Notamacropus eugenii: one gene and its partners. The protein of the gene in region 2 interacts with the protein of the main gene of each other region in a pairwise test. Links are inferred from orthologs where the notes say so. Each region holds a gene or a part of one and is shown on either strand. Other genes may lie near its edges. The genes, in order: KLF3, EHMT2 and RD3.

The links.
Region 1: the proteins of EHMT2 (region 2) and KLF3 interact in binary tests that used the Homo sapiens proteins (3 or more experiments, as listed by UniProt). The two-hybrid records come from large-scale screens. The link is inferred for Notamacropus eugenii from reciprocal best matches to the Homo sapiens genes EHMT2 and KLF3.
Region 3: the proteins of EHMT2 (region 2) and RD3 interact in binary tests that used the Homo sapiens proteins (3 or more experiments, as listed by UniProt). The two-hybrid records come from large-scale screens. The link is inferred for Notamacropus eugenii from reciprocal best matches to the Homo sapiens genes EHMT2 and RD3.

What each region holds. Positions count from the first base shown.
Region 1 is NC_092877.1:92,692,841-92,703,649, forward strand, and holds the start of KLF3 (Krueppel-like factor 3), read left to right. Parts: upstream 1-6,368; 5' UTR 6,369-10,809. UniProt on the Homo sapiens protein: Binds to the CACCC box of erythroid cell-expressed genes. May play a role in hematopoiesis.
Region 2 is NC_092873.1:85,596,152-85,606,806, reverse strand, and holds the start of EHMT2 (histone-lysine N-methyltransferase EHMT2), read left to right. Parts: upstream 1-5,664; 5' UTR 5,665-5,680; coding exon 5,681-5,963; intron 5,964-6,221; coding exon 6,222-6,443; intron 6,444-6,549; coding exon 6,550-6,821; intron 6,822-6,923; coding exon 6,924-7,008; intron 7,009-7,141; coding exon 7,142-7,200; intron 7,201-9,697; coding exon 9,698-9,853; intron 9,854-10,240; coding exon 10,241-10,402; intron 10,403-10,475; coding exon 10,476-10,614; intron 10,615-10,655. Other genes in the region: ZBTB12 (zinc finger and BTB domain-containing protein 12), read left to right, coding at 1,460-2,893. UniProt on the Homo sapiens protein: Histone methyltransferase that specifically mono- and dimethylates 'Lys-9' of histone H3 (H3K9me1 and H3K9me2, respectively) in euchromatin.
Region 3 is NC_092873.1:426,892,740-426,903,139, reverse strand, and holds the start of RD3 (protein RD3), read right to left. Parts: upstream 4,193-10,400; 5' UTR 3,740-4,192; intron 1-3,739.

The DNA of each region.
Region 1 (10,809 bases), on a different chromosome or scaffold from region 2:
TTAGGGTTTGCAAAATGCTTTATATCTATTATCTCAACCATACTTTGGGGCAGTGGTATCGTTTATTCTCATTTTACAGATGAGAAAACTGAGGCTAAGAATTCAAGTGACATACAGGCAGGATTTGAACTCAGAGCTTCCTGCCTTCCTGCTTTCCATCAACTTGGCTGCCAAGCATTTAACTGACACAAGATTGGAAACAAAAATATGTACATAAGGAGTACACATTAAAAGATGTTTGGATAGATTGTTGAACAAAAGTTGATTACATCATGATTGTTAGATCCCTAAATAAAGCAAATCCAAAATCATCATGAGAAAGAAAACATACTGAAAAGGACTGAAATGGGGTGGGGAATGGGCTTGGTTGGGGAAGGGGAAGCAGGGTGTCCATGGGAAATGAAGATGGGAAGTCATAGGTACTCTTAAAACTGGCCCTGCTATTTAGAGATTCTGAGAAGCAAAAAAGAATGACAACAAATTAAGTACATCCTCAATTCAGAAATTTAGCTCTGAAGGACCTTAACACCCATGAAGACTGTCCGCAAGCTAAAAGGCAATTTCTCAGTTCACAGGCGTAGGTACTCTTCTGTCTTACATTTAATCATCAGATCCTGGTGAAAGGCCAAAGACGGAGAAATGGACCTTGTGCTCAAGCAAGTATATTTCTGCTTCTTGAAAAGAAGGAACTTAGAGCTTTTTCTATCGTGGTTTGCATTTTCCCTTTTTTTTTTTTAAAGAAGGCTTTAAAGTAAACACATTTTTATTTACAGAAAGTAGAGAAACCAGATTCAAAGGCAGTATGCTCTTTCCCCCTCCCTCTCCCTAGGTACATGGTCGGGGGGGCTTCGGAAGGTTTAGGGCAGGTAAAAAGCCACTTTGCAAATTTCTGTACTGTGTGGCACACATAAGAGATACTCAAACAGTATTTATTATCTTTCCTAGGAAGTGAAGTCAGCAGTCCAAAGGAGTCCACTCCCTCTCTCATTAAGCAGGGTGGGGTAGGGTGGAGGTCAGAGGGGAAAAGGAGGGAAAGAAAAGGCGTGGCTACTGCCACTTTTGTGCATATGTTCCTTTGTCTCTATACCTCAAGCCTCTTAGCCAGTGTATTCTTGGGTACTCTAGGACAAAAGTCCAGATGTTTGGAGGACCTACTGGATAGCTGAATGTAAGGAAGGTAGGCTACCCCTCGCAAACATGATCATGAATGCCTGTCTGTGTCTGTAAGGATAATAGGTTGCAAACTAAGATTATATTTAATTTAGCACTTTATTATATGCTATTTTATTCAATTGTTCCCTAATTGTTTCATGTGTTCAAGCCTTGTCTTTTCAGCAAGATGGTAAGGTCCTTGAGGGCAAGGGTTGTACCAAAAGCTCCTCTTTTATCCTTTCCCCCTCCCCCATGGCCATCAGACACTTTATAAACTTTCAATTCAATTAAATCCAACCATTTGTTAATTAAATTCCTAATATGTGCAACACAATGTGTCCTTAAGCCCTGGGATACCAAGGCAGAAATCGAAGCTTTCTTAAAGAGTTTACTTGGAAGACAGAGCAGTCACACACAGAAGTAAATACAAAATAATTTGGCCTCAACCTACTGTCATTATTCTGCTTTTATTTAGTTAGACAACTTACCTTTCTCTAAATATGCTTCATTATTTCCTCTTCTACTACTATAGCTTAGCTAGCTCACAGTACTCCACCCCTACTCCCTTTTCCACTTCTCTCTGCTTGTCCAAGTTCTATCCATCCTTCGAAGCTTACCTCCAGTCTTCTCTATGAAGTTCATCCAAGTCCACGTGAGCTTTCCTCTTCTAGAACTCTTTTAACTTTGATTAGCCCTATCACTCATATACTGCCTTGTGCAAAGGTCATAGGATCTAGCTTTAAATCTCCAAGAGCCCTTGGCTGTTTTCTTGTTGGCCCATCTAGATTGGAAGCACCTTGATGGTAGGTACTATGACTTCTATTTCTTTTATTTCCATACTACCTTGGATGGGGTAGGTGCTAAATAAATATTCATTGATGAATCATTCATTCATATCCAGCTGTCAGTCTCCAAGTTCCCCCTCTTTCCCTACTTGAATCTCACCTCCACCTTTTCTGCATCACACACTCACACTCAACACACTTAGCCCCAAATCAGGAACAAAGAAGGTACTTAATAACTGCCTGTTTATTGCTTCTGGCCTGTTCATCCATACGAACAATAGAAAAGAGATTTTTATAGATAAAAGTTTCCAACTCTAAACCTACCCTGAACTAATCTAGTAAGTAAATACACACCACAAATAAACTCCATCAGTCTAACAAAGTCACCGGTATTCAATGGACTTGAGCTAATTTTCAATAGTATTTAATACCCACATTTACACAGCACTTTGCCTTTTATAAAGTGGTTTGCTTTTAATCCTGTGAGTTAGGCAAAATATTAGAGTAAATATTACCAAGTTCGTTGTATAGATGAGGAAATTGGGGATTAAGAAAGGTAAGACTTGCCCTAAACTACTTAATGACTAGACCCCAAATTTTCTGAGTCAAGTTTACAGGTTTGTAAATCAATTGCAAGCATTTCTGTAGGAACTTGGTTTTTACTTTGGATTTGTCTTGTACCCAACCCAAATACTCCTAATTTAAGTTTTAAATGTCATAGGCATATTTCAAAGATATGAGTTATAGAGGCAGACTTCAGAAGTATATGTACAAATCTCTACCATGCTACAACACTGTGACTCAGTTGTTTTTGTGTCTCCAGGTAAAATTTTTATATGTACAAGATACTTATAAAATTTCACTACGTTTAGATAACCCTCTACTCTTAGAATAGGACCTCTAGGACTAGGTTTATAATATATTTCTGCTTATTATGTAGTATGGGGCCTAGAGGAAGGAGCAAAATAAGGGTGAACTTAGAGGCCTTTTAAAACATCTTGAATCAATAAAAAGCCCTAGATGGAAGCAGGGGTGTTTTCAAATATTACACAGCACTAAAACAATTGAACCAATTTGTCCTTTGTTCTTTTTATTGCATTCTTTATTACGCTAATACTGCTTTAAAAGAAAATCCAAAGGCATTAAATACACAAGCAAGCCACTGTCCAGGCCCTGACTCCAAATAAAGCAGAGCAGGATCCGCAGCCATCCCTGGCATACACATGGTGTAGCAAGCCGAATAAAGTACACGCAGAGCCTGGTCCCTTCCCACTGGAACGGCATGGGTGGAAAAGCAGCCCCTCAGCCCCACCCCACCAAACTCACACGCGTCCGACTTTGAGATGGGGACGCACCTGAACCACTTTGGGAAAGTTTTCAGGCAAGTGTGTAGCAAGAAGAAACAAGGTAACTGATCAGCCGGCCCAGGACTTTTACCTCGGGCTCCAGAGCCCCGCTCCGAGATGCTTGGCCTGAGGCTTTGCAAGCTCGGGAGGTCGGTGGGGGAGGGGAGACGAGGAGGCTGCAGGACGGGGACTCCGCGGCCGCGCCCATCCCCCACCCTTCCTCATTCTCCGGGACGGAGCGGAGTTTTCCCAGAGCCCCGGAGCACAAAGGAGCCCGCTGGCAAACAGGATGTTGTATGAACCTGAAACTCCGGGCTTTCCTTAGATTGGGTTCGTCCCCCCCTCCCCCCGCCACCGTCCCTTCCACGTGCATTTTCCTCCATCCACGCGCCCACCCCCCGGGCTTTTGATAGTTTTTTAATTTCATTTGACGTCCGGAGGATCCCGAGGCGCGGCCCCATCGGCCCTCCGGGCGGGCAGCGCAGGATCCATCCCTGCGGGTCCCACCACCTCGGGGGCGGGGGGAGCCGGCAGAGGCCGCGGCCGCCCCGCCACGCCTCGGAGCGGGCAGCACCGCCCTTCCTTCCCCTCGGGCCCTGGGCGGTGCGGCAGCGGCAGGTTGGGGAGGCGGGGTGGGGCGCGGAGGGGAGAGGGAGGGGATCCTCGGAGCGCCGGGCCGGACGCACGCCTAATGCCCCGCGGCCCCCGGCGGCGGCGCAGGGAAGGGCGAGCTCGGCATGCGGGGCGGAACCCCGGCTCCGGATAATAACGAGTGTCTGTAAGTCTGTCCCTGGGTGACTGCGAAGGGGGAGGAGGAGAGGGCGGGGCGGCGGGAGGGGGAGGGGAGGGCGGGGCGGCGGGGAGGGGCGGAGGGAGTCCGTGCGTGTTTGTGTGAGTGACTCGTCCGACCCCTCTCGGCCGCCGCGCCGCTGCCTCCACCCTAGTGGGTGGGGACCCCGCCCCGCCCTGCCCGGGCTGCGGCGGCGGCTCCCTCTCTCTCCCCCTCCCTGACCCTCCCACCCGAGGTCCCAGCCTCTACTTACCCGGCCAGCCCTGGGAGGCTCGCAGAGCGAGCGGCGCCGGCGTCATGTGACGGCCCCGGACTTGGTGCCAGGAGCCTGGAGACTGAGCGCGGCGGGGAGAGCGAGCGAGCGAGCAGCGGGAGCCGAGCACGTAGCGCGCCGAGCCGGGAGCCGGAGCCGGGAGCTGCAGCCGCAGCCGGGCAGCAGGGCAGCAGGGCAGCCGGGCAGCCGGAGCCGGGAGGCGGCCACCTCCATCCGCCCGGACACGGGGCCCGCCGCCCCCCGCGCCCTCCCTCCCGACCCCGCTCTCTCCCCCCTCCTCCCCCTCCCCATCCTTGGCGGCCGCGCGTGGTCGCGGGACTTTTCCGCTGACACTGTTGCATTTGGGGGATTAAAGGAAACCCTGATCCCGGGCTTTTATTTCCTGCCTGCTGCGCTCAGCACCGCGGCGCTCCAAGTAAGTTTTCCTGACGTTGTATATATATGCGAGATATGACGGTGGAGACAATACACCTCCGGACCGACCCTCGGAGCTGCGCTCGCCGCTCTCGCGCATCCCCCCTCCGTGGACGTGTCGGGATAGAGGGAGTCGGTGTTGGGGGGGTAGAAAGTGCAACTGATAATGGCCCCGGAGGGGGAGGCCGGGGCCCCGGGTGTCGTGGTCGAACGTGTGGGATGGATGAGAGCCCGTGCGGATCCGGGGTTTGCCCCGCCGCGGGGTGCGCGAAGAAGCGGAGGTGCCGGACTTGCGGCGAGGGACCGGGCTTATGGGGGGCGGATGGAAGGAGACGGAGGAGGGAGGCCGGCTGCTACACCTGCGTGGTCTGTAACTGTCTCCCCCTCGTAGAAATCTGTGAGTTGCAACCTTGTTTCAAGGAAGGTGGACTGGACGCACGCGAACGCGGGCCCCCTCCCCCACCCCCGCTCCCTCCCCTCCCCCTCCCCCGCCGGCTCGGTCCGCGTCGGAAGTTTTCCTCGGGGCTTCGCTGCGGCTCCGGCGGAGCCCGGGAGGAGCTGGGGGGGAGGGGGGGACTCTGCCGCACTGTCACTGGACACGGAACCGGGAGGCCTGGGGGTGGTGCGGGGGGGCAGGGGCTGATCCGGCCCCTCCTCGGGAAGGGGGGAGACGCTGGGATGTTGTCGGCATTGCCCCCCGGGCTGCGTGCCCCGCCGCCGCCTCGCCTGCTGCCTGGACGCTCAGCCCGGTGCCCTGGGGGAGCCCGCTAGTCCTAGAAAGTGCCCCCTCCGATTTCGGGGACTGCATTCCTGCGTGTGCGCGGCCGTCGGGCTGATAGCAGGGCATTTAGGAGAGAAACGCCCCCCCTCCTTGTAGGACAGGGAAAATGGGGTTTGTCTTTGCCATCCCACTTCAGGTTTGTGTTCCTAAATCCTAGGACCCCTTCGCTTCGGTCGGGAAATGAGCAGGAGACTCGGCTGGCGAAGACCGGGCTCCCTCCCAGGGGTCTGGCTGCGGATGGGGGCCTCGGGAGCGGCAGCCGCGGCTCCGGCCGTCGGGTCCTGCGGGCACCTCGGGGTGGCTGCGGGGTGTTCTCGGCACGCCCTGGACCGCCCCCTTTCCTTTAATTTCGGTGAGGAGTGTAAAGAGGTCCTCGCCGCGTGCGTCCTGCGTTATCCGAGGATGGGGTGGCTGCTCCCAACAGGTTTTTCCACAGAGTAGCTGGGAGTGAGGAACATCTGGACTTGATAACCTGCCTGCCTTACCCCTAAGGAGGATTTGGGGGTGGGGGAGGCTTCAGTCTGAAACCACTGAAACATCGAGAACTGTGGGGAGCTCGGCTCAGTCGTTTGGGGGGCAACAGGGGATTTTGAAAAGAGGTTTCTTGAGTTGAAACAATACTGACTTTAGCTGTTGTAAAAATCTTCGTTTTTTTTATTCTCTTGAATTTTGTGGATACCCAGTTTATTCATCCTCAAAGCTAGGAGGCTTTTATTCGGCAAAATATTTGTACATCAAATGTGTTCTGTAGTGTGGTCCATGAAGATGTATTTGTACAACGTAAGTCATTTCGTATGTTTGACTTTTTGTTTGATTAAAGGAAAACAAGTATAAAAAAAGGGAGATGAGCTCCAGATATTGGGGCAAGTAGCAAAATAGCTATAGCTATCTGTGTAGAGATGTGTCTACTTTATTTGTAATTTGGAAAGTTTCTAAATCCAGATCAATGCTTGTGGTTACTATGGTCACAGTGATGCCATTTTTTTTTTTTTACTTTTTCGTTATCTCTCCATACATGGCTTCCTAAATATCTAACTAAAGGAAGCAGAGTCTGACATTTCTAAGAGGCAGCAAAGGAATAATTTAAGTAAAGAAAGGTAATAAGGGTGGAGGGGTCACATAGTTAAAAGTTTTTTAAAATTGTTTTTCCATTAACAAATTTAGTATCATCTAATAAATTACATAACGTCTTTACTAATGAAATCTCAAGTAGATGTGTGAGTTTATGTGACAATACAGTGAAATTTAGGAGTATTCTGAGTTTCCTACCTTTTTTGCTTTGGCAGTTCAGAACCATGAATGAATGAATGAATGAACCTGATTTGATGAGTATTTTAGTAACTGTGATCCCATTGTGTTCAGAGTAATGCTGGGAATGGATATATAATCTGTGTTCTTCACTGATTTGTTCAGTCTTCCACGTCTTCTACCCCCCAAAAAAACAAACAGACCAACCTGTTTTGAGCCATAATTTTAAACATAATGGGCTACCCAATTCAAAAAATGGGTACCACTTGCTACTTGCTCCTTGAGATAGGAGAAAGGGACAAAAGAAATCGGGAGGGAAGGCTGGTGTTATGATGGGCTCTCCTGTCTGAATGTTCACTTCTGATGTTTACTGTATGTGGTTGCTTATATTTGTAAATAGGGTAGGTCCCGCGTATAGGCCGGTGTTGTTATTCACACCCTTCGAACAAACACCTCCACCCCCTGTTGTTTTAAAAACTCCAGCTGCTCATGAATATAGGGTCAGGGAGGGCCGGCTAAATGTTTCTCTGTGCTTTCTCTCCAGCACAGCTAGCAGAGCTGTTTCCTGTTCTTTGTTTCAAGGCTGGGGTTTGCGTCATACATTCCTAGTGGCATATGTGTGCTCTTTCCTGTTTCAGGCTGTTTTCTGGTAGATCAGTAGCCCAGACCAGGCCCCTTGTCCCTGCCCCTTAACTCCCAATCCCCACCCAGGGAGTTATCATGTCTCCACACACTCATGATTGCTTAAGATGCCTGTATTATGTCATAATGAGAAGTCAGTTAACCTTTTTACACACACACCCCTTTACTTCACTGTGTTTATGTGTGTGGATTAATTTTCCATTTTTATTTCAATCCCAAATTATGATTTTTGATGCATATGCACTATTGGGAGGTATCTGAGGGTTTTTTTGTTTTGTTTTCTCTTAGGGGTGGTTTTTGTTTTTATTCTGCCCTGAAGGATACCACTTCTGGATTAGGATTAACCATAGATAAATTTTGTGCAGATGATGGAGGGAAGACTCATCTGGAAAAGATGGTCTACTTTTTTCAGTTTTGACACAAGACACTTCAGACATAGGTGGTTACTCTTTAATTGGAGGATTCAAGTGCTCTTGGCCATCTTGAATTCTCTGCTTGCATTTTGAAGAACACATTTTTTTTTTATTATTGCATTGTGTGAATGACCAAGGTGCATTTTTTAAGGGGACATCAAGTTTTTTATTATTCTCGGTCTGACTTGAGAAAAGGATTAAAAATGAAAAAATGAGAAGGAAAGGAGACCTGGAAATAGGGAAACTTATGATGCTTTGGAACTCTTGGGTCCTTTAAAGAACTTCATCAGGGGAATTTTGCTGTTTGGATCATTGACCACTTTTATGTATCATTCCATGGATTGCTATAAGTTTTTTTTTTTTTTCTGTATACTATTTGCTGTTCAGCATTTTAGTTTAACTTTTTAAAAAAGTGAACATTTATAAGTTACTTTTCTCTTAGCTCTACAGAAACTAATTTTTAAGGAAAAGTTTTAGAAGAAAAATAATTTAATTTTTGTTAAGTTTTTATGACTTGATCTTCAGTGGGTTTTAAGTTTTCTTTCAGTAGGAGAGAATCATAGAATGAGATTAGATCCTTCTGTGTAATAGTATTCATCCGTAAAGTTTTATAGAAAATAATTTTATATAATTTGTGTTCAGTATCAGAAAAATCTCATGTGACAAATCTAGGAGTCTGCTTTTGAACAGCACAGTTTCCGCCTCATCTTCACTTTATGACTTAAATGGTAAGAAAGCTGTGGAACCTAGTATGTTAAGTAAAAGGTAAGCTTTCCTTTAGCAGAAGATGTGATTTTGGAAAGGGGCTAAAATTGTGCTTTCTTTTGGGGAGAGGGAAAGCAAACTTTTTAGAGATTAAGCCTTGCTTTGGGCAGTGTGAGCCCTTAAAAATCCGAAACTTTTGTGTTTTCATTCTGAAGCTGCTTGCTTCCAGTCCAAAATATGGTATTTGGCAGACATGCTTTCAGACAGAAGTTTTAACTCTTCCTGAATTTTCTTTCATCATTGTTTCCCTTTGGGGTATCTAATAATGATCCTTGGCTTCAGAGGCAACATGACAGATAACCAGAAGGATAAAACTTTAGCAAACTTCTAAATGATAAACTCAAAAATAATGGGGGGAAATTTTAGTGATGTCTGATACAGTCATTCTAATTACTAGCAAACATTGGTATGCTAGGGAAAGACAGCCTCATCTCTTGAGAAAATTCACATTTATTTAATCATTTTTCCATTCATCTTTGTTCTTCCTCATTGAAATCCCCTTGGATACTTATCTCCACCTTCTTTACCTCTCTAAATCCCCATCTTTCTATAAAATTAACAAGCTGGATTGTTTGTTCTTCAGCTTTCCTAGATGCTAACTTCATACCCTGTTGTCAGATCTATTCATGGGTGACCCAGTTTTGTTTGAGCAAGCGAAAAAGAAAAGAAAATTCTTCCTTAAAAACTAGGAAATGGCATTATTTTGGCATTTTTCTTTAAAGAGGGATTGAAATTGGCCCAGACTTTCAGCCCCTTTATTTCCCAGGATTTCTTCCTTAAAACTTAAGGCCTGGTTTATTTATCTACGTGATTCCATACCAAATTAATTTTAAAGTCATGTGCATGAGAGGATTATTAGACTCTTCAGCATACTTGTTTTTAGAAGTCTGATCTGTTCACTTCACTAGACTTTGTTTCTCCTCTCCAGTGCAGAGACAGGAAACCAGACAGCAGTCTGCCCTGATAAGGCAGGGTATTGTCTAAGGGAGGTAGCCACTGCTTTTTTCCTCTTCCATTCTCCTCCTTCCTTGGAGTCTAGTGGTTATTAAAATAAAGGAGACACAGTGCTGTGCAAATCTAGGATTCTGAATCAAAAGTCTGGATGACCTCTATATACCTCTCTATATAAGAATGTATTGATTTTTAACCAGTCTTATATAAACTCTGGAAAATGTGACATTTCTGTGCAGTTTTGAAGTTATTATATACTTACAGCTTAGGTGACATTTTTTAGTCTCAGAATAAACTGGTATTTAAAAAACACAAAACAAGATGGGGAAGCTTTTTCCCTCCTTATTTGCTTATCTCAAGCAAAGTACTGCCCCATTTTTCCATTTTTTTCCTTCTCCATCTTTTATAATCATCTCTCCCACCTCCAAAGAAAAAGAAAGAGTGAGAGACAGACAGTAGTAAAATGTAGTAAATTAATTGAGCATTAAACCATTTACATGCTTGAGGCTGGCCCATTCCAGCCAAATCCCTGGGTCCAGGCCAGAATTAGAGAGAGGGGAATGTGAATCAGCCTCGTCTTCTGGAAGATCTAGAGGGACCTAGGTCGGTTCTGAGACCCCCTTGAAATTGCTGACAATCTTTGGCAGGCCTGAGATGTCCTTGGGGATGACCAGGGGCCAGTCTAGACCTAAAACTGAGGAATTTAGCCAGAACCAGACTGACCTCAGAACATCAGTGAGTCAAACAGTCATTTAGCTCAGGACATTCAACTCAAAAAAGGGCTGCCTGTAAATAAAGGGTTTTTTTTTCCTCTTCCTGCTCCTATTCTTTATTCTTTTTCCCAACTACTGTTCTTTGAGCTTAATCACCTAACTCAGTCCCCTTATCTGTTTCAGTATTTTGCATCCTGGCACTCCCCTAAGCTTCTTTCCAATACCACTTTGTGAAAACATTCTTAAAAGTGAAGGCCATCGGTTATCTAATCTAGAGGATCAGTTTTTCTCTCACTTTGTTCCTGTTAATTGTTTAGGATAATTTTAGCAATTAGTAATAATTATTAAATAAAGTTCTAATTTTAATCATTTTAGGGTATATTGCAAAAGCTTTCTTCCCCAAGTAAAAAGGAATATAGGCTTAATGATACCCTTTATGACCAGATTGGGGGTGGAGGGAGTCTTATTTTGAGGTTCCTTTCGTTCAGTAGCGATCTCTTATACACCTATTATGTGTAAGCTTGAGATGTGTGAA
Region 2 (10,655 bases):
TTTTCATTCATGCAGGCATTCAAGGCTCAGCTTAGACGCCAACTCCCAGAAAGGGCCTCTCCTGATTTTCCCAATAGTTCTCTCCCTCCTCAAAATACGCGGAGTTAATCCGTGTACGTGTACGTGTTCTACGGCCACCCTGTCCCATCCCTCTGGTGTGGCTGAGAAAGGAGGGAGAACCTACTCCCGTATTCCCCACTGGGTGTAAGTCCTAGGAATACGGCTCGCTTTGTCTTTGTTCAGTTCCTAGCACGCTGCCTGCCACACGGAGTCTTGATACACTTTTTTCACTTGGCCTCAAAGCCACGCCCCCTATTCCTCACGACTGGATCCCGGGAAGGTAGCTCTCTCCGGAAAGGGGGAGCATAGGGATCCGCGCGACCCAAGCCCCGTACTACCCGGGCGCGAGACCAGCACGCATGCGCAGCCCCATTCCTGAACGAAGTGCGGGCGTAAGAAAGCAAGCGGGGGGGGGGGGGGGGAGGGGGACGACGGGGGACGTATTTCCGCTCCGACAGACAAATAGTACTGGCCAAAGGGGGGTAAAGGCTACTCCTGGACCCTTTAACTTAGTGGAAACGGCGGGAAAAAGTGGGGAGGTATCGCACCCTTTAATTACACACACCCCACACTCTTCTCCCCCCCCCCATTTCCCTCCCCCCTTCCTCCTGGAGCCGCCGCCGCCGCAGTAGACGAAGCCGCGCACGCTGAGTCCAAGCCGCCTGGCACGAGCCTCCCCCACCCCGCCCACGCCGAGCCGGAGTCGCGCGCCAGACCGCGCGCAAGGGCGCGCACGTCCCTGCGCCTGCGCGTCACCCAGGCCTGCCAGTGCGTGGTGGGTGCCGCCGGCCCCCGGGGGGGCGGGGAAATTAAAGAAAAAAAAACTGCTCGTGGAACCGATCCAGGTGAGAGGCGAGCTTGCTGATGGGGTCTAGGGGTTCAGGGGGACAAGTTCTGCGGAGCAACTGGGCCCCGAGGGTTGGGGGGCAGGGGAGTAACGTGCTGGGGTGGGGATGGGGGGGCGTGCGCGGCACGTACGGGTGGGGGGTGCCGGGAACGGGCGCGTGTAAACGTGCCCAGGGAGGCGGGGAAAGGGCGAGCGTGCCCCTGACAAGGGAACCCTCAAATCCCTGCCCCTCCCCCCTACACACCTCTCAAGCACACCTCCCCCCTCTCTTGTCTGGGCCCCCAGTTCGTGGGTAGGATGCTTGGGGGAAGAAAGTATGCGACCTCCGCCCCTCGTGGGACTTCGAGTTCCCTCCCCTCCCCCTGGGATGGGACGGAGCCCAAACTGAGGGGTAGGGGGTGGTCTGGAGAAGAAAGTAGCTTGCCTCTGCCCCCGGGGAGCGGGAAAGAGGTGAGAGTAGGGGGCCGAGGCTTGGGGAAGGGGGAAAGACCGGCTTCCTAACTAATTTGCCCTCCACCAAACACAGGGAACTCCCCCAGCCCACCCAGTACCATGGCCTCTGGAGTGGAAGTCTTGCGATTCCAGCTCCCAGGACATGAGGCTGCTACCCTTCGAAACATGAACCAGCTTCGGGCAGAAGAGCGCTTCTGCGATGTCACCATTGTGGCCGACAGCCTCAAGTTCCGGGGCCACAAGGTTATCTTGGCAGCTTGCTCCCCATTTCTTCGTGACCAGTTTCTCCTCAATCCCAGTTCAGAGCTGCAGGTCTCGCTAATGCACAGTGCCAGAATCGTGGCAGACCTCCTCCTCTCCTGCTATACAGGTGCTCTGGAGTTTGCTGTCCGGGACATTGTCAACTACCTGACTGCTGCCTCTTATCTCCAAATGGAGCACGTGGTAGAAAAATGTAGAAATGCCCTGAGCCAATTCATTGAACCCAAGATTGGCCTAAAAGAGGATGGAGTCAGTGGAGGGATTGGATTGACTGGGCTCAGCTCCACCAAGTCACTCCTCCCACCCGCTCGAACCCCTAAACCAGCTCCCAAACCCCCACCACCACCTCCTCCACCTCCTCTTCTCCGACCAGTGAAGCTAGAATTTCCCCTCGATGAGGATCTTGAGCTAAAGGCAGAAGAAGAAGAAGAGGATGAAGATGAGGATGTATCAGATATCTGCATTGTCAAGGTGGAATCAGCATTGGAAGTGGCACAGAGGCTTAAGCCCCCTGGAGGCATTGGGGGGAGCCTTGGGCTTGGAGGGAGCCTTGGGCTTGGGGGGAACCTTAACCTTGGAGGGGGTCTTGGCCTTGGAGGGAGTAGCGGACTCCTCATCAATGAAGTTGGAGAAACTATTGATGCCCCTGATGATAGCACAGCACCCCAGGGAGTGGTGAAGGCCTGCTATAGCCTTACAGAAGATGCGGAAGGGGAGGGTCTGTTGCTGTTTCCTGGAGGTCAAGTAGGGGAGGGCATTACCCTTGGGCTGGGAGATGAAGCCCTAGCTGCAGCCACTATGTCCCGGAGCAGTGGAGTTAGTGGGAGTTATGGGGGCATGAGGAGTCCTATACCAGGGGGCTCCCCAGTGGGAAACCCACTGAAGAACATCAAGTGTACCAAGTGCCCAGAAGTATTTCAGGGTGTGGAAAAACTTGTGTTCCATATGAGAGCCCAGCACTTCATCTTTATGTGCCCTCGATGTGGGAAGCAGTTCAATCATAGCAGCAACCTCAACCGTCACATGAACGTTCACCGAGGTGTCAAGTCACACTCCTGTGGTATTTGTGGCAAATGCTTTACACAGAAGTCTACTCTACACGACCACCTCAACCTTCACTCTGGGGCTCGACCCTACCGTTGTTCTTACTGTGATGTGCGATTTGCCCATAAACCTGCCATTCGTCGACACCTCAAGGAGCAGCATGGCAAGACCACAGCAGAGAATGTCCTTGATGCCAGTGTGTCAGAGCTCAATGCCCTCCTCCACTAGCTGGAGGAAGGATAACTAGGGGAAGGGGTGAGGTGAGATTGCTGGTAGAGGGGGGTGATGAAAGATTCTCTCTCCAAAAGGGGAGGAAGTTTGAAGGGGAAGGGGGCTTTTCTGTTTCCAGGAGAGTTAACATACATCTTGGGGTTAAAGGCAGAGGTCTTAACAAAAGAACAGCTCAGGTCTTCCTCTGAGAATAAGAAGGGGTTAAAAGACCTTGCTGAGGAGATTAACTAACCATTCCTTGGGATGATGAGGAAAGAAATGGTTCCTGTTTTCTAGGATAAAAGGGCCCAGGAAGAGGGATGGCTCTTTTCTGGAATAAGTAGATAATTGAGGTGAGGATGGTGTGCAGGGTGTAAGTAGTAAAAAGGGGAAATAGAAGATGGTTTTATCATTGGGTAAGAAAGCTATAGAGAAGACAACTCAGTTGAGGTAGGGTGGGTGGGAATTGGGAGGGTATCTTACCAAAGCTATACCTGTCCTTGGGTGGTAATAGAACAGGGGAAACCTCTTAAATTCCTGGGAGAGCAACTATTATGAGGAAAAGGTTAACAAGTCCCAGGGAGAAAGGGTAGAGAATGTCTTTTTTTGCATGCGAGGGAGGAGGGAAGGGGACTGGGACGGGCTTTTGTCTCAGGAGACAAAAAGTGACAAATGGTTATAATATGAAAGAAAAAAGGAGAATGGAAGTAGACTAGAAAACAAATAGAGGCAAAATAAGAAAAGTCAGAAGTAGTAAGGGTTGGGGAGGGGATATGGGGAGAAAAGGAAAATACCTAGAAAAAGGCTCTTGGGGAGGGGAGGGAAAGGGTGTGGTAGAGACATAATGGTATTTTTTAAGGAAACAGACATATTTTTCAGGAGTTTTCTGGAATCTGAAGTCTCAGTTTCCGCTTTTCCACAAAATAAAAAAAAAATTCTTAACGTTTGTTGTCTGAGTCTGATACTTCCTTTTTCCATTCCCTAGTTTTCCATTCTGAGCATCCTGGTACCTTCAGCCAACAGCTCTTTCCTAAGAATACCCTGGCCTTCCATCTTCTGCTTCTGTTGAGTTTCCTGTGCCTGTCCAGTGTTTTTAGTCACCTCCTGGTCTCCTCACCATGTGGGCAAAAATCATGTAAACCCGTTTCAGCAGTACTTTTCAAAATTCTAAGTACTCTTCATTATGGTGAAGTCGGGCCATTGTCTTTCAGTCCCAGCTCTTGTCATTATCTAGCTATGAGAAGGGGCATCTGAGCCTATTGCTTCTACAAAGTGAGAGGATTAGACTACATCAGGGCGTTCTCAAATTGGGATGATGGTCTTGGATGGGGTAGAAATGTATTTGGGTTTTTTTCCCACTAAGCTCAAACAAACAGCATTTCCTTCAATTACGAATTTTAAAATTTTTTCTGGGAAGGGATCCATCAGCCTCACCAGTCTGCCAAAGGAGTGTCCATGACGCCCCCAAAAAGGTTAAGAACCCCCGAACTAGATGGACCCTGGGGCCCTTCTCCAATACTACTTCGAGTCTGCGAGTTGGCGGAAAACTTTAGAGGCGGCTCGCAGCTTGTGCAAACTACAGCTCCCAGGAGGCCTCAGAGGCGGCCCCGGGTGCCCAGTGCCAACCCACAGAGCCCGGGGCTGTGGAGTCCTCCGGGTTCGAGGGCTGTAGTACAGGCTGCTGAGGCGGGGCGTCCGTCTGTGCTGGGACCGCGGCGTCTGTTCTTCTGGTCGTGATGACATTAGCGAAGTTGTGATTGAATTAAGTTCTTGGAGAGATCCGTGGACGGCCGGGCGGGATTGGAGTGGTCTTTAACTAAGCCCTAATTACTCACAATAAGAGCCGGGAGTAAAAGCCCTAGGTAAAGGGGAAGAGCGTCTCGGAGTACCCCCATTCCCGCCTCCAGGAGCAAAGGCTTCTCTCCTGCTCCTGCCCGGACCGAGATCGGAGGCAGAGGCACGGTCCTTCCCCTTCCCGGGACACCCGGACCGGACGAACCGCGGCTCGGGAGTTATTGGGCAATAGACTCGCACCGCAGCGGCGGCCCCCGCCCCCAGTCCAGACACTCCGGCAGAGCGCCCGCGCTCGCCCCCCCATGGTGAAGGCTGGGGCGGCCAGATCGAAGTGGCCTCCGAAGCGCCCCCGCCAGCCCCATCCCGGGCATCCTCCGCAGCCCTCCGGGATCCTATCCCGGGAAAATGGCAATGGAATAGGCCACGGCTCCTTTAAGGGTTCTCTTCCTCCTCCCCCCTTTCACAACTCCCCCATCCCCCCCCGGCCCACGTGACCCGGGCGGCCGCGCGCCTCCTGGGCCCCCCGCGCGAGCGGCTATGGCGGCGGCGGCGGGAGCTGCAGCGGCGGCGGCCGCCGAGGTGCGGAAGGGGAGGGGGGGGAGGCGGGTGCATGCCCGCCCGCGCGCGCGCCCGGGGGAAGCGCGCACTCGTGCAATGCTCCGGGGGTGCAACGGGGCCGGGGGGCCCGAGCCGGGCTTGCAACAAGCCGGGGGGCCAGCGCCGGGGGCCGGGGAGGGGACCAGGGGATGGGAGGCGGGGGAAGCGGGCACGGAGGTGCGCGTGCAGCCGCTGGCCACCCCCGGATGGGCGGATGGAGCCGGGGTCCCAGGGGCACGCGCACGGGGTGCGCGGGGCAGGCCGCCAAGCTGGGGGGGAGTGGGTGCCGGGGGGGGTGTCGCGCGGGGCCCCCGCGGCTCCGGGGACAAAGGGGGAGCGTCTCGAGCACCCGGGAGGAGGGGGCGGGGCCGGGGCGCATTGGCCACGCCCCCTCCCCTCCTTTCTGCTCCCGGGATGCGGGGGCTACCAAGGGGGAGGGGGTCCCTTCGGACCCGGGGGAGAGGGCGAGGGCCACTTCCTGGGAGTCGCGGCAGAGGGCGAGGGGCAACCCATCGGGGCCGGGGACGGGGGCGAAGCCTGCTCTCTTCCGCCCGGACCCAGGCGTCCTGGGTTCCTCTGCCCCCAGCCGGGTTGACCAGTCCCCCTACCCCTTGTCTCCCCTCGCAGGGGGAGGCCCCTGGTGAGATGGGGGGGGCGCTGCTGCTGGAGAAAGAACCTCGGGGAACTGCAGAGAGAGGTAAGCATACAGTGTATACAGGATGTCTGCTCCCCAGCCCCCTCTTCTTCCCTGTTGTGAAAGCAGTCTGCTTCCCAATACCCTCTTCTTTTTCCTATCTGGAACAACCTGGCAGGATGGTAAGTTGCCCTTTCCCCTTAGATCTCTTCCTGAAAGGAATCATGTTCCCCAACTGTGTGTGTATATGTCTGTGTGTCTTGTGGGGATCTTGGTATTCATGACACCCCTCACTCCCCAACCTTTCTTTTTTCTTCTCAGGTCTTAGCTCCTCCTCAGGAGATAAGTCTCCTGGAGAGGAGACCCCACCCCAGGACCATCCCGAGTCTGTGGAACCCACTGGCCCCTCATCTCCTGCCTCAGTCACAGTGACTGTAGGAGATGAGGGTGCTGACACCCCAGTGGGGTCCACACCCCTCATTGGTGAAGAGCCAGAGAGTTCAGAGGGAGATGAGGGCATCCACAGTGGTAGGATGTTGTTAGGTAAGGATTTGGGAGAGCTTGAGGTTGGGGAATTCAGGGAGCAGGGAGAACTGGGCTCTCAGGTCATACCGTTTTCCCTCCTCTCTCTCCCAACCATGTTGTCCAGGCCATGCCACTAAGTCCTTTCCCTCGTCCCCCAGCAAAGGGGGCAGCACCTGCCCAAGCCGGGCGAAGATTACCATGACAGGGACCGGGAAATCACCTCCCTCAGTCCAGAGTTTAGCCATGCGGCTGTTGAGCATGCCTGGGGCACAAGGGGCTGGGGCTGGGCCTGAGCCTGCCCCTACCCCGACCCCTACCCCCACCCCCACCAGCCCTGAAGGGAAGCCCAAGGTCCACCGAGCTCGAAAAACCATGTCCAAACCAGGGAATGGACAGGTAAAGGGCATGTGCAGGGAAGGGAAGAGGTATATCTTGTAATAAGGAGCGGGAGTTGGGGGGAAGAGGGGAGTCTTATCTTCCTTTCTGTGTATTCCCTAGCCTCCAGTCCCTGAGAAACGCCCCCCTGAAGTTCAGCATTTTCGAATGAGTGATGATCTTCACTCAATGGGGGATATGGGAACAGGTATATCCTTCAACCATAGATAGATTCTAGCTTCTTTCTCGCCTATACCATTGGGACAACAGTTAACTTTGGTTTGGGGTATCAAAAATCTTGCTTAGGTTTGAAGAGAAAAACCTTACTTTATCTCTTCCAGACACTGCCAAAAGGAGGAAGCTGGACTTGGGAAGTGCAGGGTCCCACAAGAGAGGCTTGGTAAGGCTGCATCAGGGACTGGACCAAGGGGCAATAAGGGAGCTAAGAACAGAGTGCCAGCATCTTTGAGAGGAAAACAAGTACTAAAATGGAGTGGAAAGAGGAGAGAGGTGTGGAAATAGAATATTTTAGTTCCTTAGAGAAGAGATTTGCTAACAGGACAACTCAGCTGGAGTAAGGCTGGGGAGGGGAGAGGTACTGACTCTTGGGTGGTACAAGTCTCTAGTATTTAAAACACTAAGGTGCCTTTTTAAGTGCAAGGTACACAGGGTGATACAAAGAAGAAAGATAGTTTCTGCCATTTAGGAGATTTAACCATGTCTATCAATCAATCAACGTTTATTAAGCTCCTACTATATGTCAGGCCCTGTACTAAAAGCTGGGGATACAAAAAGAGGCAAAAGAAAGTCCTTGCCCTCAAGGATTTTATGGTCAGTGAGGGAGACAACATGTATACAAATATGAGTTATATACAGGAGAAATAGGAAATAATTAACTGGGGGAGGGCACTGGAATTAAGAGGGTTGGTTAAGACTTCTAGTAAAAGAGGGAATTTTAATTGGAACTTAAAGGAAACCAAAGGGGAGGTCTTTAGAGCGAATGATTGGCCTGGGGGACAGCCAGAGAAAATGCCCAGAGCCCACAGAAGGAGTGTCTTGTTTGTAGAACAACCAGGAGGCCAGTGTCACCGGATCAAAGAATATGTGTTTCAGATTAGGGTGTAAGAAGACTTACAAGAGCTTTGAATGCTAAACAGAACATTTTGTATTTGAACTTGGAGGCAGTAGGAAACCACTGGAGATTGTCAAGTTGGGGGGGGGGGGGTGACATTATCAGACCTGCGCTTTAGAAAAATCACATTAGTGGCTCAATAGAGGATGGATTGGAGGGGGGAGAAAGGCTTGAGGCAGGCTGACCCAGCAGTACGCTCTTGTAATTGTGTAGGCATGAGGTAATGAGGTCCTATATTATCATAGTAATAACTGTCAGAGAAGGGGCATATACAAGAGTTGTTGCAAAGGTGAAATTGACAAGGCTTGGCAACAGATTGGATACGGTAGAATGAGACATAGTAAGCAGTCCAGCTGACTCCTAGGTTGTGAGCCTGAGGGACTGGGAGGATGGTGTTGCCTTCTATAATAATAAGAAAGGGGAAAAGGGGGAAAGGTGGTTTGGGAGAAACGTAATGAGTTCCATTTTGAACATACTGATTTTAAGGTGTCTACTTGACATCCAGTTTGAAATGTCTGAAAGACAGTTGGAGATATGAGATTGGGCATCAGCAGAGAGATTGGGGCAGGAGAGGTAGATTTCAGAATGACATTGTTATAGAGATGGTAATTAAATTCATGGGAGTTAATTAGATCACCAGGTAAAGTAGTATATAGAAAGAAGAGGGGCCGGGGACAGAATCTTGAGGGAAACCCTAGAGTATGACATGGAAGTGGATCCAGATAGGTAGGATGAGAGCCAGGAAAACTTCAAGAGAAGAGAGTATCAAGGAGGAGAGAGTGATCAACATTGTCAAAGCCTGCAGGGAAGTCAAGGAGAATGAGGACAGCGAGCGAAAAGGCCATTGGATTTGGCAGCTAAGAGAAAGATGAAGTGAGGGTTTTTTCAGGATAGGAGAGAGATGGTATGTTTGTTATTAGTAGGGAAGGAGCCAGTAGTCAATGAGTGATTGAAGGGAAAGACTGAGGATGACAGAGGGGGACAGTCTGTTGTAAAGACACAGGATGGAATGGGATCACTTGAACAAGTAGAAGGGTTAACCTTGGTAAAGAGTAAAGGACCATTTCACCCAATGAGATAGGAGTGAAGGAGGAGAGAATGGTAGAAGAAATCTGAATGATGTCACTCCCCTACTTAGTAAACTCTTGTGGCTCCCTATTGCCTCTAGGATAAAATACATTCCTTTTAGTTTTTAACCGTTCATCATAACCTAACCCTAACCTGCCTTCACTAATGTGCAGTAAGGTTCCCTTTCCACACTCAGCTGACCTTTTCTCTTTTCCTCACATTTCACACTCCATCTCCTCACTTCGCTTTGTTCAGTTTCCTCCGCTTACAGAACTTCAAGATACAACTCAGTCACCACCTTCAGCTTTTCTGATTTTCCCAAATGCTAGTACCCTGTCTCTCAGATTGCCTTGTATTGTGTGTCTGCGTGTGTATGTGTGTACACATATCTCCTCCAGATAGAGTATAAATTCCTTTAGAGTACAGATTGTATCATTCTTTGTATTCTCAGTACCTAGCACAGTGCCTGGAACTTAGTAAGCACTTAGTAAATGCTTGTTGGTTGGTTGATTGATCCATCAACACACACACACGCACACACACACACACACACACACACACACATCATAAGATAGAAGTTGATAAAGCTAGAGGAGATATCTTGACAAAGTATCATTCTAGAAACATGGAGGGAGAGAACACTTTTAGCTAATGGAATCAGGAAATCTTCATGGAAGGGGAACTCTTTATTTCCCAGTTGGAAGAGCTGGGGCCTGCTGGGGGGTCTGAGGACATGGCCCTGGAGAAGGCAAACCAGGAGGCCATGGAGGACTGGGATACAGATGTAGGAGAAGGCTTCAGTTTGTACTATGACTCATACTCTGTGGATGAGCGAATTGACTCAGACAGTAAGGTAAGGAGCAGCTGGGTCTGGGCTGAGGTGACCTCCCTACCACCAGCTTCCTGCCAACTTCTCTGATGCCTCTTGAGCCTTAGAGCTTTTAGAGAGTCTGTGTGTTTTGTGCTTAATCTTTTCTCTGTGACCCTGTCTCTTTGGTTCTTCCAACCATCATTTCATACTTTAACTACCAGGAATGCTTCCCTGATTTACCACACAAAACTACCTGTACACACACGCAGGCTTACACACATTTCCCTGAGGTCATAACGGTCCTATCTCTGTCTCCCCAACAGAGGGGACTGCCTCCCCTGTCAGACTCCCCCATCAGAGCACCCAAAGGACAGGATCTTTGATCTGAGGGTCACCCTCCCATAGCCCTATCCTCTTCTCCCTTTCTAGTCGGAGGCAGAGGTCTTGGCCGATCCATTGAGTGAAGAGGAAGAGGAGGAGGAAGAGGAGGAAGAAGAAGAAGAGGAGGAGGAGGAAGAGGAAGAAGAGGAGGAGGAAGAGGAGGAAGAAGAAGAGGAAGAAGATGAGGAGTCTGGCAATCAGTCCGATAAGGTAAGGGTCTGGTATCTGGGTCTGTAAAGGAAGTCTGGGCTGAGGAACAGGGGAGATAAACCTGCATACCCAGGTTCCTGTTCTTCCCCCTCATCAGAGTGGTTCTAGTGGTCGACGAAAAGCCAAGAAGAAATGGCGAAAGGACAGTCCTTGGGTGAAGCCCACCAGAAAACGTCGAAAGCGGGAAACACCGCGCAGCAAGGAGCAGCGGGGTAATCCAGATTAAGTTCCTGTCTTCCTAGGGCACCAAATC
Region 3 (10,400 bases), about 340 Mb from region 2:
AAAGACAAACAGGTGGCTATTGCACTGGAGCAGGTAAGAAGAGATGACAGTCTGAACTAGGGTGATGATTGTGTTTGTGGAGAGAAAGGAATGTTGAGCAATGAAGTGGAAGAAGAAATGAAAGACTTGGCAACTGGTTGGATATGGGGGTGAGAAGAGGGTAATTTAGGAGCTGAAGATGATTCTGAGGCTGCAAATCTGGGTGACTGAAAGAATGGTGCTGTCTTCAATGGAAATGGGGATGTCCCCAAGATACAGTATAAATACAAAGAAGTTATATTAAAAGAAGTTTTTTCCCTTTATAAAGTGAAAAATATTAGCACCAAAGGTGAGCCATACCACTCTTCTGTGCCTGTGTCACATTGCCTGTCCTTGACTGTAACTTTTTTTTTGGAGGGAGGAGAACATTTGTAAAGTACCTATTATGTGCCAGGAACTATGCTAAGGATTTTACAAATATCTTATTTGATCCTCACAACAATCCTGTGAGGTAGAAGCTATTATTATTCCCATTTTACAACTGAGGAAATTTACAACTGAGTCAGAGAGAGGCTAAATGATTTGTCCAGAGCCCCACAAAGAATAAGTGTTTGAAGCAGGATTTATAATTCCCTGCCGGGTCAATGAGTCTAACCTCTCTCCTTGGCTGACCCTCATGCTTCTTACAACACTTTCAAAAGTCATGGAGGCCCTGGGAATCTGTGGTTGAGGAGGAACTTCATTTGGTTCCTTGGCGGTTTTCCTAGCAAATGGATAGATTATGTGGGAATGGTGGAGGGAAAAAAAACCTACTGAGATTGTTTTTTTTCTATTATCCATGAAAGGATGCTCCTTCTTTCATAGGCCATGCCTCCAGTTCCATTCATGACATCAAGGATTTAGGGCTAAGACAATCTTCTGAGGTCTTCCAGTCTTGTTCAACTCCCTCATTTTACAAACAGAACAATTGAGGCACAGGAAGAATAAGCAACTTGCCCAAAGTCATACACTTCCCAAGTGGCATAGTCAGGATTCAAGTCAAGGTCCTCTTGCTCCAGATCCAGACATCTTTCCTCTACATCTCATCTTCCTCCTCCCTTCCCTTCTCTCTTTCTATCCCCTGCTCCCTTCTGTCTTCCCTTCCATTCTGTTTGTTCCCTTCCGTACTTCATTTTCCATTGCCTGTACCTTCCCTCACACACTGTACCTTCTGTTCTGCTTGTTTTTAAATATCTCTGAGGAGAAGGATGGCTCCTTCACTTCATGAAACCCAAGAGACAATGCTACCAGCTGTGGCTCATTAAATAGGTTAGAAAAATCAGAGACGTGCCTCAAGGGCAAGAAGGAATTTTAGTGTTTTCATTTCTCTTCGGTTACAGGATTATTAAAAGTCAGGGCAGGGAATGAGGGAAATCACAGCGAGGGCAATAATAGCAAAGTTTAATCCTTAGTGCATAAAGAAGGGTGCTCCTGACACTTTCAACAAGGCACGCCCTTCGACTTTTTCAGCTGGTCTTGGTTACAGATCATACAGAGTTACCCATGGCCATGGCCCGCCCTCCTTGGGACCAAGAATTCACCTTTATTAGGTAGCAGCCTGGGCCAGAAGTACAGACCAGAGCTGTAAATAACCTTTTCTTTTTGCAAATGTGGCTAGATCACATTAAGATCAATCCTTTCTTCTTCCCCTTTATCAACACTGATGTGTAAGCAAGAAAGCTAGACTTTGACATTTGTCAAGGCATTGGAAGCCAGGTATGATCTAGAGAAGAGTCCTGGATTTAGATTCAGGTTCAAATCTCAACTCTGACACCAATTCTGTGAACATAGGAAACTCACTTCCTTTCTCAGTGCCTCAGTTTTCTTTTCTGTAAAATGAAGATAAGAATACTTGGTTCTCATGAAGAAAGGGCTTGGTGACCTTAAAAGGCTCTCCAAATGTGCATTATTATCACCGTTATTATTCTTTATCTCTTCCATTAGATGGGAACTCCACAATGGAATTCCCAATGGCTCTTTCTACTTCTGTATAAACCCTTTTTGCCTAGGACAGGGTTCTGCATTGAGTACAAAGTATGGACTGATTCTTTGACCTAAACTTCATGAACGAGTCTCTGCTGATTTATTTTTTAATGTAGGGAGGTGGGCTGAGAAGACACCTTTCCAATAGTCACTAAAAAGGGCATGATCTGTCCTCCTCATGCTCCTGTTGTCACCAAAGCTCATAGACACCTTTGGGTGAAGAAAAGTGACCACTCGTTGAAAGGGTTTTGGAGTAGGAGATGTCTTTTGCCTTATCATAAAAAAGAAAAGAGCCTCAGAAAGATTGATCACTAAGCCAGGAGACATGTATAATTCATTGCAGACAGTCTTTGTCTACCCGCAGCAATAGTGTTACCAGGTAGATGGAGTGGCTGCCACAGAAATATAATCTTGGAGAGGATAAACTTCTTCATAAAGGGGGCCTTTTATCTTTTTGGTCTTTGTATTATCAACTAGAAGAAAAGTGCCTTGCACATAGTAGGCATTTGAAAAAATGTTTACTGGTTTGGATTAGAGGGGATGCCACATTGGGACCCTTGTGAAATACAAACAAGCTCTCTCTATGACCTAGAGTTACCACTCAAACTTTCCAACTACTGACTACAGTTGGATCCCAGAACACCCCTGGACTTAATACCTCTCAAAGCACCCTGATCTTCAATGCAAATATAAAGTAACCATATTGTGGCTTTATAATAGTCCCAGGGAACTGGACAAGAACATGCAGAGCTGAAATCCATAAAATATCCCAATTTATGTCTCTTTGCCTCACCCTTCATCCACAAACTTTGACCCAAGCAGCTCACAAGAACCAATGTGAGTCTCTTTTCATAAGGTCATAGATTTAAAGCTGGAAGAGATCTCAGTAGGCCATCAAGTTTACAAATAAGGAAACTGAGACTGAGAGAGTGACTTTCCCAGAGTGCCATGGCTAGTAAATGTCTGAGGCAGGATTTAAACTTAGGTCTCTCTGACTCCAAGTCTAGCACTGTATTCACTGTGACTCTTAGTTACCTCTTCTCCTTTCTCTTTGTCTAGCCCATCTCTGGGAGAGCCAAGAAAGAGGACAACTGGGGATATTGGATAACCACCAATCTGGCTTTGCTGGCCCTGAATGACAAAAATCTGATTCGATACAATTTCAATGACACATGATTCAGGGTTCCTAGTCAAGTACTTGAATTAAATCAGTAATGTTGTGGCAAATGTTTAACAACTGACTCTTTATGGAAAAATGTCTGCCAGACACACTTTTAAGTTTAAGCTGTGTTATTAATAATTTCAACAAAACAAGAAATTAAGCCCTTGACTTGCAGCATTTGCCAATTTCTAAGGTGTAAATGCTCATTCTGAAAATTTAACAGTCTGCTCTAGAGAGTTTATTGGAGCTGGGTCCAGCAAATCTCTGAAATTAATCAAAATGAACATTTTTGCTAAAGTTTACCTGGGTCATATTCCCAGCCTGTATTTAGAGAATTATTGACAGGTCTACCCAACTAAATTGCTCTCTCCCAGCTCTCATCAAACATATCACCCAGGAGGAACCAGTGTCTAGAAGAGAGGAAGGTGACTAAGAAATTAGTGCCTGGTACCTGAAGCCTGCCCCACAGTTGGATCAAATGAGGCATTAACTTTTGTCCCCCCTCCACAGTTATTCTACTCTGATTGCCCAAAGTGTTTCTTTAGGCACAGATGTCTAAGTGGGCAGACTTCTTACCTGAATTTCCAAAGTTGATTGAAATAACTGGCACCTTCTGGGCAGAGAGAGTGTACCACTTTCTGCCTCCAGTTGTGAAGAGGGGATTGTCAGATCCTTTCAAAGAAAGGCAAGAAGGTATTGTGAAGCCATGAAATGGTAGGCAAGGATGAATGAGCGTATGGGGGGAAGGGGAGGAGAGGCAGGGCAGGAGTGAATTAATCTTTTAACTAAGCTTCTTCCTTTCCTCTCTGCTCCTGCCGGCTGCTGCTTCCTCTACCTTTCTGTCCTTCTCCCTCCTCTTGAAGAGGAAAAACAAAATAGAATAGGTAGAAGGTCCCAGGGAGCACGGCTGTGGCTGTTTCTTAGTCTGTCTGTCTGATTGTCTGGTTCCTGTTCTCTAGAAGAGTCCTGGGAGGTTTGACTCACAGTTTCTCCCTGATGAACGGTTGGCCACATCCCAGCTTGTGATGCTCAGTTACCATGGAGACTCACCTAAGCCTACTTAGCTTTGAGAAGCATAATCCAGGGGGATGGGGAGGAAGAGGCTAACTGAGGCAGGGGTCTGAGAAGGTCTGAGACAGAACAGAAAAAACAAGTAAGGCAGGGAAAGGAGGATCAGTCTTGGAACAACCCCTTCCCTACTGGTGGGACAACTGTTGTCCCCTCAAAGAGTGTTGCTGTTCAATCGTTTCAATTATGCCCATCTCTTTGTGACCTCGTTTGGGGTTTTTTGGTTTTTTTTTGCAAAGATACCTGAGTGGTTTGCTATTTCCTTCTCTCCAGCTTATTTTACAATGTGGAAACTGAGGCAAACAGGGTTAAATGACTTGCTCAAGGTCACACAACTAGTGAGTGTCTAAACTCAAAAATATGAGTCTTCCCAACTCCAGGCCAGGTACTCTACCCACTAAAGCCACCTAGCCACAAAGAATAATTTGTAGGTAATAAGCAAAGGTCTGCATTTGGGGATTCTTAAGCCTGTTTCTAGACTGCATTCTTTAGTTCCTTCTGGCCTCAATCACCTTTAGGGTCCTAACTAAATCCATCATTGTCAAGCCCCGAATGTTCCTCCTTATTTGATGGTAACTAGAGGGAGGCAGCTAGGTGGGGCAGTGGATAGAGTGCCAGACCTGGAGTCATTAAGACTCACCTTCCTGAGTTCAAATCTTACCTCATAGACTTACTAGCTGTGTTACCCTGGGCAAGTCACTTAACCCTGTTTGCCTTAGTTTCCGCATCTGTAAAATGAGTTGGAGAAGGAAAGGGCTAATCACTCTGGTATCTTTGCCAAGAAAACCCCAAAAGGAGTCACAAAGACTTGGACTTGACTGAAACAACAACAAAAAGGTCACATGTCTCCTCTTGTTCCTTCCGAGAAAAGATCAACAAAAGATCAACCAGTCAACAAGCACTATCCCTCTTTCCCTCTATAGATACTGTGAGAATAAATTGATGAATCATATTGTTTTAAGCTACCAGAAGGAAAGTTTTCACTCCAAGGTAGAATGTGACTCTATGATTTTTCCTGGGAATATAATGGAAACAGGCACAGAAACAGTTAAATTCCTGTATTGATTGATAAACTCAGCTGACCCCCATACTCCTAAAATGGAACTGATTGATGGCATAAGTCTAAGGGCAAGGCTCCGGAGAACAATGAAAATCTCAACCCTCTCCTTTTTCCCAGTCCCCAATTTTTGAGGACCCTTCAGCGGAGAGGGGAAAGAGTCACTCTTAGATATTCCCTGTTTTTGGTCCAGTCTTCTCTGAACAGTTGTTCAGTGAGGATTTAATGTCTGCAGTGATGGCAAATTTATTTTTGATTAATTTGCCTGCAGGGGGCTTTGTGATTACCCTAACTAAGTGAGAATTTGTACTGGGAGAGGAAGTTGGGTTCTTCACTCCCCAGTAGGCATCAATGAAAATCGCTGATCTGTGGTTAAATATTCTACAATGAATCCACTGCAGAGACACAAATGGGGCCCAAACACCACTGCACAGATGGTGTTTGATGAATAAATTGGTGATGTGAAGTTAGATAGTGAGAAGAAGGGAGAGATGGAGAAGGGGGAGGGTGGTAAGATTTAAAGAATTATGAGAGAGAAGGAGGGGCAGCAGAGGGAGGGAGATAAAGGGAGAGAGCAGCCTTTAGCCAGATGTCAGCATTGCAGAAAGGATAGAAACATCTTTATGGGCCGCTTCTCCCCAAATCATCTGGGAGGAAGAGAAGATTTTAAGAAAAGCTGTTTTGATACAAAGCAACATCTACTTTGCCTAAGGATGCTAAGCCATTGCACTTGGAGACAAAAGACCTGGGTTCACTTCTGGTTCTGTCTTACTTCTTATGTGAATTTAGGCAAATCACTTCATCTCTCTGGGTCTTGGATTGTTTGTTTGAATCTGTAAAATAGGAAGACTTCTGAGGTCCCTTCCAGCTCCGAATTTATAATCTTTAGACCCTACTTGGGTGTCCATATTTGCATAGACCCCCCTCACCTTGGTCACTTTCTCATATTTCTTCCTCAGAATCCCAATATTTTATTTCCTCAGTAAAAAATGAACTGTTCACTCTCAGGAGTCACAGAATCTCAGAAATAGAAGCCATTATTCTTTTTACCTCAACGAGGTCCCTCCTAAAATATCCTTGACAAATGACCATCCAGTTTCTGCCACCCCCAGTGAGGTGGCAACCACTACCTCCTGAAATAGCCCATTCCATTTCAGAATATTTTTTTGAGTGAAGAGGCAATAATTACTCCAGTGGCCTACTTTCTGTCCTCCTGTTCCACCTGGTCAACATGAAGACATGGCTACACATATGGCCCTGTTGTTGCTACCAACCAGGGATATATGTGGTCTAGCTCATGCCTGCTAGAGAAAACCGCTTGTTGAATTTTCATTGTGGTCATCTATCCTTCAGAAATTGGCAAACACTATAAATCAAGGCTTGATTTATTGTTTTGGTGATTGTTTAGACTTAAGGAAGTGATTAAAATGTTGCTAGTGTAGATTAAACTTCCAAGTATGTCATGTATACATTTTTTTCAGAGAATCAGTTGTTAATTATTTGTTAGCACACCCCTGCTTCTGTGCTGTTTTGTTTATTTCTTCCTCCCTTAAGTGAGGGAGGATCAGAGATGGAATGGACTAGGCTTTGATCTTGTGAGCTTTGAACGTGGAGGAGATTGTCCAATGGGGAGTAAAAACGTGAGTCACCTGCTTGATCCAATATAGCAGTGGGTCAATTAGATTTTTTATGACTAGACTGTAAGCTCCTTGGGGACAGGGACTTTTACCTCTTTTCATATCCCCAGCACTTAACACAGTGCCTGGCACATGGTTGACACTTAATACATGCTCAGTAATTGATTGACAGCAGTGCAACAAAGGCAGTAAAAATGAGACAAATTTTTCTTTGGCTATAACTCATTCAGAAGTGAATTTGGTGGGGGTGAATGCTTTACAGCAACTGAGCCTCCCTCCACAGAGACAAAGGGAGTGTGGGAAAAGTATGCACCTGAGGGTTGAGGGAGGGCATGAAGAGATATTTTATACTGCTTTCTGCATCTTCTTTGGATATATCCCTTTGAAAAAGCTAATTAATTGTGTTTGGTTAAATGATACTGGAATATTAATCAATTGCATCAGTAGATTGAGGAGATTTTTAAATGGACCTGGGTTAGATTATATTGAAGAGATAATTAGCATTTGATATTAGGAAGAACACACTGGAATAGGGGCTTGAGTTGAAAGCATGAGAGAATCTCATCAACGGTCAGAGGTATCCTTAGACCCTTGGAGGGAAATATATCCCTAGACCCTTACAGGGAAATGTAGCTTTACTCGGGAGGATCTAACTGATCAATATAGTTGGGAGTTGTGACAAAGTCCCTAGAGTTATGAGGGTGACATCTAATTTTCTTTACCTCAAGACTACATCCGCTTCTTTACACTTTCTACCTATCGCTCTTAATCTGCCTTTCTGGAACCAAGACCGACAAATCTAGTCTCTTTTTCACATGATAAACTTTTAAATACTTGAAGATGACTGCTGTGTCCCTCCTAAGCCCTGTTTCTCCAAGCTAAACATCCCTCCTTCTATCAGACTATCCTCCTAGGGCATGGACTTGAGGCCTTTCACCTTTTTAGCTAATTTCCTACTTATCTGTGCTTTTCCTAAAAATGGTTTGGCCAAAGTTGAACATGATGCTCCAGATCTGATCTGACCAGGGCAGAGCACTTTCCTCACCTATAAAATGAGGGAGTTGGACGAGATGTCCTTTGAGGACTTTCCCAGCTGTAGTTCCATGATTCTTACAGCAAGTGGGGTCATCAGTGCCTTGTTCTGGACACGATGCTTCTCTTAGTGCGATCTAAGATCACATGCAGTTTTTAGCTGAAGAGAAGCAAAAGCTTTTCTTTCTAGTTCACCATATGTATACACAGAGTCCACTGAATGTCAAACAATAAGAGAACTAACAAAGGAGAGGTTTTAAACTCATAGGCTTGAAAGACAGAGCTGGAAGGGGCCACAGAGGCCATTTAATCTACCTCCCTCACTTGATAGTTGAGGAAACTGAGGCTCGTGGAGGTTAAATAATTTGTCCAGTGCCATGGTTAATTAATTCTATGAGGTGCACTGAGTGATGTAAATTAATAATATGCATGAACAAGATGTTTATAGATGTATATCAGATATATATGATATGTAGTTATATTTCAGAGATATCTATCTACATAGATAGATACTTATCTATGATCTAGATCTATAATATATTTATTTTATCCATGTTCTATCTAATAGGTATGTATATTTGACAGAGAATGAAGTCACAGAGACTAAAGGAGAAAACAACCCTCAAATAGGAATTGACAAGGGTGTATGTAAGCACATACATCAATATATAGATATGTACAGATGTGGGTTTATGTATATATATATATATATATATATATATATGTGTGTGTGTGTGTGTGTGTGTGTGTGTGTATGTGTATGTATATGTAGGTATATATAAATACACACAAATACACCTATACATGGGTATATATATCTATATCTATATATACCTGTAACTGAGCAGTTTTCTTTTTGGATTTTGTGAAATATCATGCCTAGACTCTTTTGTTCACATTTCTCAGATAATCCAATGATTCTTAAATTATCTCTCCTTGATCTGTTTTCAGGGTCAGTTGTTTTTCCTATGAAACAGTTCATTTTTTTTTTTACCATTTTTCAGACTTTTAACTTTGTTTTATTATCTCTTGAGGTTTCATGGAGTCAGTAGCTTCCATTTAGCTAATTCTGATTATCAAGGAGTTATTTTCTTCGGTAAGATTTTATACTGTTTTTTCCAAGCTCTGCCAAGAAAATCCCAAATGAGGTCATAAAGAGTCAGGCATAACTGAAATGACTGAACTACATGATTTATTCTTGAGTTTCCCAATCTGAATTCAGTCCTGTGCATTTTCTAGCTCAGAGTTGTCCAACTTCTGACTTGAGGGCCATAAGCTATTCCATAAAACTCCTGAGTACCCTATCATCTATCTATCTATCTATCTATCTATCTATCTATCTATCTATCTATCTATCTATCTATCTGTCTGTCTGTCTGTCTGTCTGTCTGTCTGTCTGTCTGTCTGTCTGTTTGTCTGCCTGCCTGTCTGTCTATCCATCCATCCATCCATCCATCCATCAGTTTATCTAACTATTGACAGAAGGAGGTTTACTTAGTCATGGCATAGAAAGGATACTCAACAAAGGTACAACATTTAGTTCAGGTTGATGCAAGCCCCTCACCTCCATCTAGAAATGTGTCTACACAGCAAGGGAAGATGTGGTGATTTGTAGTAATGAGGTCCTCCAAAGTCAAAGTGCTCAGTGTTTTTAGAATACCGATGTTACAAGCCAATAGTCTGGTTCATTGAGCTCCAGATACTGAGCTCCATCTACTCCAAAATTTCCCCATTATCTCTTCCTGCCTGTTCAGGGATAAGAGGGGGCTAAGCTAAGTCATAGACCTTGATATAATTTCAATGAGGAGCAGGACCATGTGGTGTAGTATCTATCCCTCCCTTTTCTGTCACCTGAACATTTTATAAGTACACTATCATCTATGAATTTGCACTATATGGCAAAATCGTCCATGCTTTTCACACTTATTATCTAATGTAAAATGCCTGGACTTCAATCATTCTCCCTACTTTTTTCAAACTAATATTCTCTCCCACCTCCATTCTCTTTTAGAACCTTCTTGAAGACCTATTCTATCCCTTTCATCTTACCTTTCATCTTACACAATCATAATATCTTATGTTTATCTTTCATTTTAATGATTGCAAGTCATTTAAAATATGCTATCTAAATGGAATGTTCCATAAATCTCACAAACCACCCCTCCCCTCCATCAGCACAATATTTTGAAGGACTTATTTCTGACTTCCTTCTGCAAGTATATCATTTTGCAACTCGCTAATACACTTACACTCCAGATGTTTCTGTTTCCAGATGACATTGTGCTAATTGCATCAAGCCCTGGAATGTCACAGAGCCTTCTAAATGAGAAAGATAATTGCTCAAAAGAGTTTGTCCTAGAAAAATATGGAAAGAATTGGACTTTTGAAGGAAGATGCTGTCTACTTATATAGAAACAGAAGACAAGTGGAAATATGCATAATA